2 linked regions of the Cricetulus griseus genome follow. The protein of the gene in region 2 interacts with the protein of the main gene of each other region in a pairwise test. Links are inferred from orthologs where the notes say so. Each region holds a gene or a part of one and is shown on either strand. Other genes may lie near its edges.

What was found. The genes of interacting proteins can lie anywhere in the genome.
Region 1: the proteins of Tpr (region 2) and Nup153 interact in a two-hybrid assay, tested with the Homo sapiens proteins (3 studies listed by BioGRID, with this or other methods). The link is inferred for Cricetulus griseus from reciprocal best matches to the Homo sapiens genes TPR and NUP153.

Annotation. Positions count from the first base shown.
Region 1 is NC_048596.1:266,378,215-266,381,866, reverse strand, and holds part of Nup153 (nuclear pore complex protein Nup153), read left to right. Parts: coding exon 1-170; intron 171-3,088; coding exon 3,089-3,257; intron 3,258-3,568; coding exon 3,569-3,652. UniProt on the Homo sapiens protein: Component of the nuclear pore complex (NPC), a complex required for the trafficking across the nuclear envelope. Functions as a scaffolding element in the nuclear phase of the NPC essential for normal nucleocytoplasmic transport of proteins and mRNAs.
Region 2 is NC_048598.1:41,200,391-41,204,797, reverse strand, and holds the start of Tpr (nucleoprotein TPR), read left to right. Parts: upstream 1-1,517; 5' UTR 1,518-1,662; coding exon 1,663-1,684; intron 1,685-2,038; coding exon 2,039-2,335; intron 2,336-3,968; coding exon 3,969-4,073; intron 4,074-4,407.

The sequences.
Region 1 (3,652 bases), on a different chromosome or scaffold from region 2:
TAACCCTCCAAGCTTTGGCTCTATATCATCTTCAACATCGTTGTTTTCTGCTGGTTCCCAGCCTGCACCACCACCTACTTTTGGGGCAGTGTCAAGCAGCAGCCAACCTCCTGTGTTTGGGCAGCAGCCTAGTCAGTCTGCATTTGGCTCTGGGACAGCTCCTAATTCCAGTAAGTTGAGTAATGACACGTTGTATCTGTTCTTTGAGTCTGGTGGCTTAAAATAGTGTTTTGTTTTGCTTGTTTTTTTTTTTTTTTTTTGAACTTTGAAACCATGTGTATATCTTATTTTCTAATGTTTTATACTTAACCGTGAAGTGTGGTGTTTTACATTGTAGAGTTTTAGTCACTGCATTTGATGGCATTAAAGGATATTTAAAAGTATTTTTTCCTCTGATGTCTCTGTTTCCCTGTAGGCTGCCGTGGAGTAGGGTTTTGATTTCCTTTGGGAAGTTAGACCTTACTTGTGCTGACTTGTCTCACAGCAGTTGGATAATACTGCTGTTCCCTCTGCATATCACCAAAAGTTCTTGTGGCTTTTTTTTTCTTTTTTAAATTAATTTTTTTATTTAAATCAAAAACAATCTTACTTTACATCCCAATCCCAGTTCCTTCTTCCTCCTGTCCTCCCATTCTCCCCCATCCCCTCATCCCACCCCCATCCATTCTTCAGAGAGTGTGAGGCCTCCTATGGGGGAATCATAAAAGTCTGAATTCTTCTTTTTAAGGCTAGTCTTGGGGATGGGGGCAGGCAATCAGCATCACCAGGAAGAATGGAAATTTCACGAAGATAACCTCCTCCTTGGAGGCTCCTCCCCCAACAAGTTTTACATACTGCTTGGCAGGAAACAGGAAATAGGACTTTTAGCTGCCTTTGTTTTCACTGTAGTATTGTGTTTTTATTAGTAAATACAGGATTGTTTAATTTTTAAATCTTGGTTAATTGCAATATACAACATTTTAGATACTAATTAAATCAAGAAACATCAATATTGAAGATATAAAACATAAATTTTGTGGTTCCTAGACATTGATGCCTTTTATATAATTTGTATTATTTATGATGTAAAAATAAGAATTAACCCAAATCTTTGAGTAACTTATAGCTAGACTAACTAGATTTAAAGTTCAATTCAGAAACTAGAATTTTTATCTGAATTAATACTGAATAATAAGAATGTATTATATGCATATTTATAAAGACAATGAAAATTTGATTATTTCAAACATTAATTTTGTATAAGGTAGGAGTTCAAGGTAAGCAAACAGTTATAAAAAAAGTTATGATAAGATGAAACATATTTTCATTTATAACTTCATTAAAATCAAGATTAGTATTATTTTATCATTTATAAATATACCAAGTAGAATATTACATGTCATATTTTTCAAATCTAATTACAAAAATATTTAAGAAACATAAAAGGTAAGAAAAATGTTTTCTCAACTGTCAGTGGTGTTGAAGATGAGTGTCATGCAGCATTTTTTTATTTGAATTAGAAGCAAGATTGAATTACATGACAATCCCAGTTCCCTTCTCCCTCCCTTCCTCCCCTACCACCCCCCCAACTAAAACCCTACCTATCCCATATCCTTTCTTCTAATCTACACCTGACTCAACCTTTCTGCTCCCTCATGACCTCAGCATTCTTTCTTTTCTTCCCTTCTCATTCTCGTAGCTCCCTCTCTCCCTCTTCCCATGTTCTCAATTTGCTCAGGGGATGGTGACCCTTTCCCCTTCTTCAGGGGATAAAGTTTGTCTCTTTTAGGGTCTTCCTTGTTTACTAGTTTCTCTGGGAGTGTCGATTGTAGGCAGGTAATCCTATACTCTATGTCTAAAATTCACATATGAGTGAGTACATACCATGTTTGTCTTTTTGTGATTGGGTTACCTGGTTCAGACTGGTTTGTTGGAGTTCCATCCATTTTCCTGCAAATTTCAAGATTCCATTGTTTTTTTTCTGCTGAGTAGTACTCCATTGTGTAAATGTACCACATTTTCTCTATCCATTCTTCAGTCGAGGGGCATCTAGGCTGCTTCCAGTTTCTGGCTATTACAAATAATGCTGCTATGAACATGGTTGAACAGATGTCCTTGTTGTGTGAATGTATTGCTTTTGGGTATATGCCTAGGAGTGGAATTGCTTCTTGTGACTTTTTAAATTCAACTGATTGTACTGTATTTTAATACGGCATTCTTTCAAAATTTTACCATTTGATCTTTCTAATAGAATTATCTCATGAAAGAGTCATAGTGTGGAAGCTTGTATGTGTGTACAGACAGCTGGAGGCACATGTGATTATACTCCTCTTTCTTTGCTCTAATGGTGACCACTGTCCTGTCCATTGGACTCTAGTTGACTGATACCTCTAGAAAATAAAGCTTTGCCTGATACTTATCTATACAGTGGACTCTTGCTGTGTGCACCTTGCTTCTTTGCTCTTACATTTTCTGTGTTGTGCTGTTGCATATGGTTCTGTCCCTGCTGCAGAGTGGTTGTCAGTCTGTTCATTTACTGTTTTGTGTTAGTCAGTTTTGACTGTCAGGAAATGCTGTGTTACATGTTATAGAGTAGAGGATATTAACCTTTTGGGGGAGCACATGTGTTTCTCTTGATGCGCTCTGAATAGAAAGGTTACCCCATAATTTAAAAGGTATTTATTACACACTTCCTGCTGGGGTTTTCCACTTCACATGCTGCCACTGCTGGATGACAAACTTCTTATTTGGTTTCTATGTATTTTCCATTTTTTTGCAAATTCTTTTATAAGTATTTTGTCCTTTAGTTTCGTTTGGTTACTGGTTTGTAAGGTTCATCTTGTATTCTGGTGTTTGTACTTAGCTCATGTGTGCTCTAAATTCTCCTGTTTTGTGGTAGCCCTGGCTGGTCTTTTACTGGTTCTATAGAACCAGGTTGGCCTTGAACTCACAGAAATTCTTTGCTCTGTGCATCCTGAGTGCTGGGACTAGAGGTGTGCATCATCACGCCTTGCTGAGATCTTAATTTTTCATATGTTATAATATGTCTAGGTGAGCGTCCATCTTAACATTGTGTCATTAATGCAATATTTCTGCTTAATTTGTATAGGTTCTGTTTTCCAATTTGGCAGCAGCACCACAAATTTCAACTTCACAAACAATAATCCGTCAGGAGTGTTCACATTTGGTGCAAATCCCAGCACGCCAGCAGCCTCAGCCCAACCCTCAGGTTCAGGGGGCTTTCAATTCAGCCAGTCTCCAGCATCATTTACAGTGGGGTAAGAGATGATCCTATTTCATTGAGATTTTACATTGGTAAAGGGGTGTGTGTGTTTCTAAAAGTAAATCAGGCAGTAATATAGTTTGGGTAATAGTAAAAACTACTATGATACTGTAGTTTTAGGGACTGTATTACAATCTGAGAGAAAAGCAGCAAGTTATAGGCCAGGAAGAGCAGAAGACGTTTGCTTGTAACAACTGCATTTTCCTCACTGCCCCCCCACCCCCCATTTTGTTACTGGTCATGTTAAGTGGTTATGAGTTCTCTCTTTGTTCTGAGCATCCTGTCACATGTTGTGTTTTTCCACAGGTCAAATGGGAAAAATATGTTCTCTTCTTCCGGAACTTCAGTTTCTGGTCGCAAGATAAAGACTGCTGTCAGACGCAGGAAATA
Region 2 (4,407 bases):
ACAATTACCAATTAACCATGAGAAATCAAAGCTATTTCTCATTCTTGGGATAAGGAAATAATGAAACCATTAGTCAACACATCTAATTTCTTATTTTAGATCTATTCCTCAGCTACATTCTCTTTGTTAATTTATTGGTGAATTTCCATGTTCTCATTTCTAAATTATGAGACATGAATTTCCAATGAGTTCATTAAGAGGCAGAGAGATTCAAATTTCTTTACACAATATATATTATACAATTATTACTTTCTAGAAATTGTACTCAGCGGGAAGGCACAAAAGTGAACCATAATTGCTGACATGAGACAACTCACTTAACAGCCACTTAAGTAAACAGTAGTACAACAATGATAACTAACTATATAGCTTCCATTCTACACCGGGCATTATTCTAGGTACTTTCCATATATTGACATTTAATATATAACGCTACTACACAAGTACTACTGTCATATCTGTTTTATACATAAAGAAATCAAAAGAAGGAAATGTTAAATGACTCCACCAAATGACAAGACTGGTGTGTGTGTGTGTGTGTGTGTGTGTGTGTGTGTGTGTGTGTAAGGCGGGATTTAAGCTCTGACAGTTTTGCTCACACAGACAACATATACTTTCCTTCAATCAAATCATTGCAAAGGACAGCTCCTGTTCTCTCCTTCAGTTTGTGAATGGAAACTAGTATAATACCCGTACTAACTTAACCCCTCCCACCCACTTCGTTGAAAACAGGGTCTGACTACTAACCCAGGCTGTACTGAAATTATAACCCTTCTGCCTCTTACTCTGTTGTTGAGATCATAGGTATGTGCTAGCCCTTATTTTCAATCAAGCGTCAGTAAATTCCAGAAAAGCAACCAGGCATGAAACAAAGTACGTACTGAAAGTGCTGAAACATGATCTGGGAACAAACATAGTTCTGTTATTGGGGCAAGATGGTATCTTGGGAATTTTTTTTAACATTTTCATATAAAAACATCAACATCAGACTTTTTTTTCCTGCAATGTCATCTTAACACATAAACTACATTCAAACTCTTCCTGATTCCTTTTTGTCTAAAACATTAACTGGATTACTACTTAAATTCGCACCGATCAGTACCTCCAAGTACCAAAAGCATGTTTGTACGAGGTTTGACATGAGCTAAACTCCTCAGAACTGGACTTCAGAGTGCACCGGAGTGACTGTCCGTCCATATGTTCCCTACACTATACCCTTTCCTTGCTCCCTTTGAAGAGGAAGTTGTTGTTGCTCGAGTGTACACACCTTCGTGGGCCCACTCACTTGTTCGCAGAATGTGCACACGTGGCCAATAAATCCCCCGAACCTTCGGTCAGCAAGAGAACGCGGGTGAGAGGACAAGTAGCAGCCTTCAAGGGTCAGATGCCACTCAGGTGCTGCTTCCACAGCCTATGAACTCATCAAAAAGCGACTGCAGTCGCACCACTTCCCGCTCCAAACTAGGGCACCGACGGGCGCAGCCTGATGACGCAGGCCGTGCCGCACTCATCTCCGCAGCTCTTCCACCAAAGCAAGTGTGGCCTGCACCCCGCCCCCTTCGGGCACCATTGAGAGCGTGGCGGCAGCCCGGAGCCTGCTGATCCGCCCTGCCGCGACCCTCTAGCGGCTCGGTTTCTAGCAGCGGCCACCGAGGAGTACCCATGGCATCCCGGGGTTTTGACGGTAAGGTCGCCTTGCTCCTCGGGGAAGGACGATGGTTGCTGAGCACGTATGTAGCGCCACCGCGCGGACACTCGTCACCGCGGAACGAGGAGAGCCGGGGGCGGGGAGAAAGAAGGAAAGGGAACGGGAGGTGCGGGAGGGGGAGGGGGGTATCGAAGCTCGCGGAAGCGAGTCGTGAGAGATACTACATTTCCCAGGAGTCTTTGGGTCTGGAAGCGGGTGCAACCAAAAGTTAGGTCAGAGGCCCGCTGTGAACTCGCATTCCCAGCGTGCTTAGCTGCCGGCGGCTGCGTGCGCACCCGGGGCGCGGTGGCGCGGCCCGTGCTGCGTCTGACGCGGGACTCTATTTCCCAGGATCCCGCCGCGGGAGTCTGCGGCGGGCAGGCGCGAGGGAGCCAGCGAGCGACCCTGCAGACGGGGCGCCTCAGGCATCGGGGTTTCGCGCTTCGCCTAGCTCCTTCGTTTCTCCTTCGGCCGCCGCTGCCGCGACCCCGGCCGACATGGCGGCGGTGTTGCAGCAAGTGCTGGAGCGCCCGGAGCTGAACAAGCTGCCGAAGTCGACCCAGAACAAACTTGAGAAGTTCCTGGCTGACCAGCAGTCGGAGATCGACGGCCTGAAGGGGCGGCACGAGAAATTTAAGGTGGAGAGCGGTAAGTGCTGAGCACCTTAGAGCTCTGATGGAGCCGTGGCTCGACCTTCCTCTTCACCCGCTTGCGCTCTGCGAGGTGGGCAGGTAGCATCACACAGGCTCCAGATGCAGTGTAGGCCTTCTCTTTTCTCCTCGATGACTGATTTTTTTTTTTTACAAAAAAAAAAAAAAAGAAAAGAAGAGAGCCGTCCTCCTCCCAGACCTAAATCCACCTTCATCGCGTCTTATGTAGGAACTCTTAACTTGGGCCCACATACAAACTGTGAAGAATTTTGGTCAGTTTACATCAGATTTTTAGGATTATGCCAACCAAATCGGATTCCGTTTTGTTGTTCTTAAATGACCGTAATTCCTCCCATTTTCTACCCACCTGGATGTATAAGCCTTTGCCAATTTCATCTCTTCGATGCCTTGTTCTTAGTGTATGTGTCTCCATGTGGTCCCATAACTAAGTAGATGGTCACGAAAATGAATTTGGATGCAAAAGACTTCACTAGAAAAAACAGTGAAATTGCACTAAATGAGTTGGGTATATCGTGCTTCCCTCAGAAAGTTGGAGATGTTCACAAAAAATGAATTTGGATGCAAAAGAAATCACTAGAAAAACAGTGAAATGGCACTAAATGAGTTGGATATATAGTGTTTCACTCAAAGTTGGAGATGGATAGAAAATATATACAGATCTGCTTATATGCCCTTGTAGTTGCTTTTGTAAGAGAAAGTTATGAACTTCGTGGTTGGAACAGCCTTGAAATAAAAATAGTAATTACTGTTAATAAAATAGAATTTTTCTTGTTGCATGTTTTGGTTTACCATTAATTGAGGGAATTGGTGCAGTATTTTGGTAGAGATTGGAAAATCCACCCGAGTTAATTTTCACTTATCAAGCAAAGTTGACAATTGAAATTATACAGTTCATTGGTGAAATAAGAAATTTGCATAATAATACACCATATTCTGTTTATTTACGAAATAAATATTGAGTGATTTATATGTCCCAATACCAATACTAGAATGAAGTAAACAGTGTCTACATGGTCTCCCTTTTTTTTTTTTTTTTCTTGTGAGTTTTTGAGACAGGGTTTCTCTGTAGCCCTGGCTGTCCTGGACCTCACTCCGTAGACCAGGCTGGTCTCCACAAAGATCCTCCTGCCTCTACCTCCCAAGTGCTGGGACCAAAGGCATGCTACAACCACCCTGCTCTCAGTCTTTTTTTGTGGGAAGTCTGCATGTTTCTTTTTACGGAAATTTAAGCAGGTGGGTATTTTAACTATTTTACATGAAACCTTTTTAAACTACTCAGATTTTAATTAAATGAAATTTCAATTTAGTAAATACTTTTAAATGTTTAGCAATCTCCTGAGGTCTGGAGAAAATACCAAGATACGGCATTGTTGCCTGCTTAGAAGAAATTAATTCATGAATCCCCTTTTAGGCATATTGTCTTTTGTTATATGTCAGTTGAAAATGTTGGAAAAGCCTTTTCAGTGCTAAATCTATATTGAGAATAGGTTTTCAAATATTAAGTTTTGCAGTCACTATTCTAAGAAATGAATAGTGGTATTAAGACTACTGCTTTTGGCGGGGGCATGTGTGCTTGACTTTACTTTTAATGTTTGTATTGTCTTTTTTAGAACAACAATACTTTGAGATAGAGAAGAGGTTATCCCATAGTCAGGAGAGGCTTGTAAATGAAACCCGTGAGTGTCAGAACTTGCGGCTGGAGCTTGAGAAGCTAAGTAAGTATTTAATTATATCTTTGTTACTGTTCTTGTGTGTTCCATTACTCCTTCGAGTAGCAGTACATAGGCAGGGAGACTGCCCCTCTTGGAAACAGGTTTTCCAGATAGCAAAGCCCTAAGCAGAGTGTTACTAACAAGGTAAGGAAGGACACACCCAGTCCTCCCCCCCCTTCAGGCCCAGAGGCACACTGACCACTGTCACATCTCATAAGTCCTATATTAGTTTCTTCCTTCTTGGGGCCTTCCAAACACCTCCACCCAAACCACAAAAAAAGAAAAAAAAAAGTGTTTTTAGCCTAATTTGATGGTGACCACAGACTTTGGGCCCACA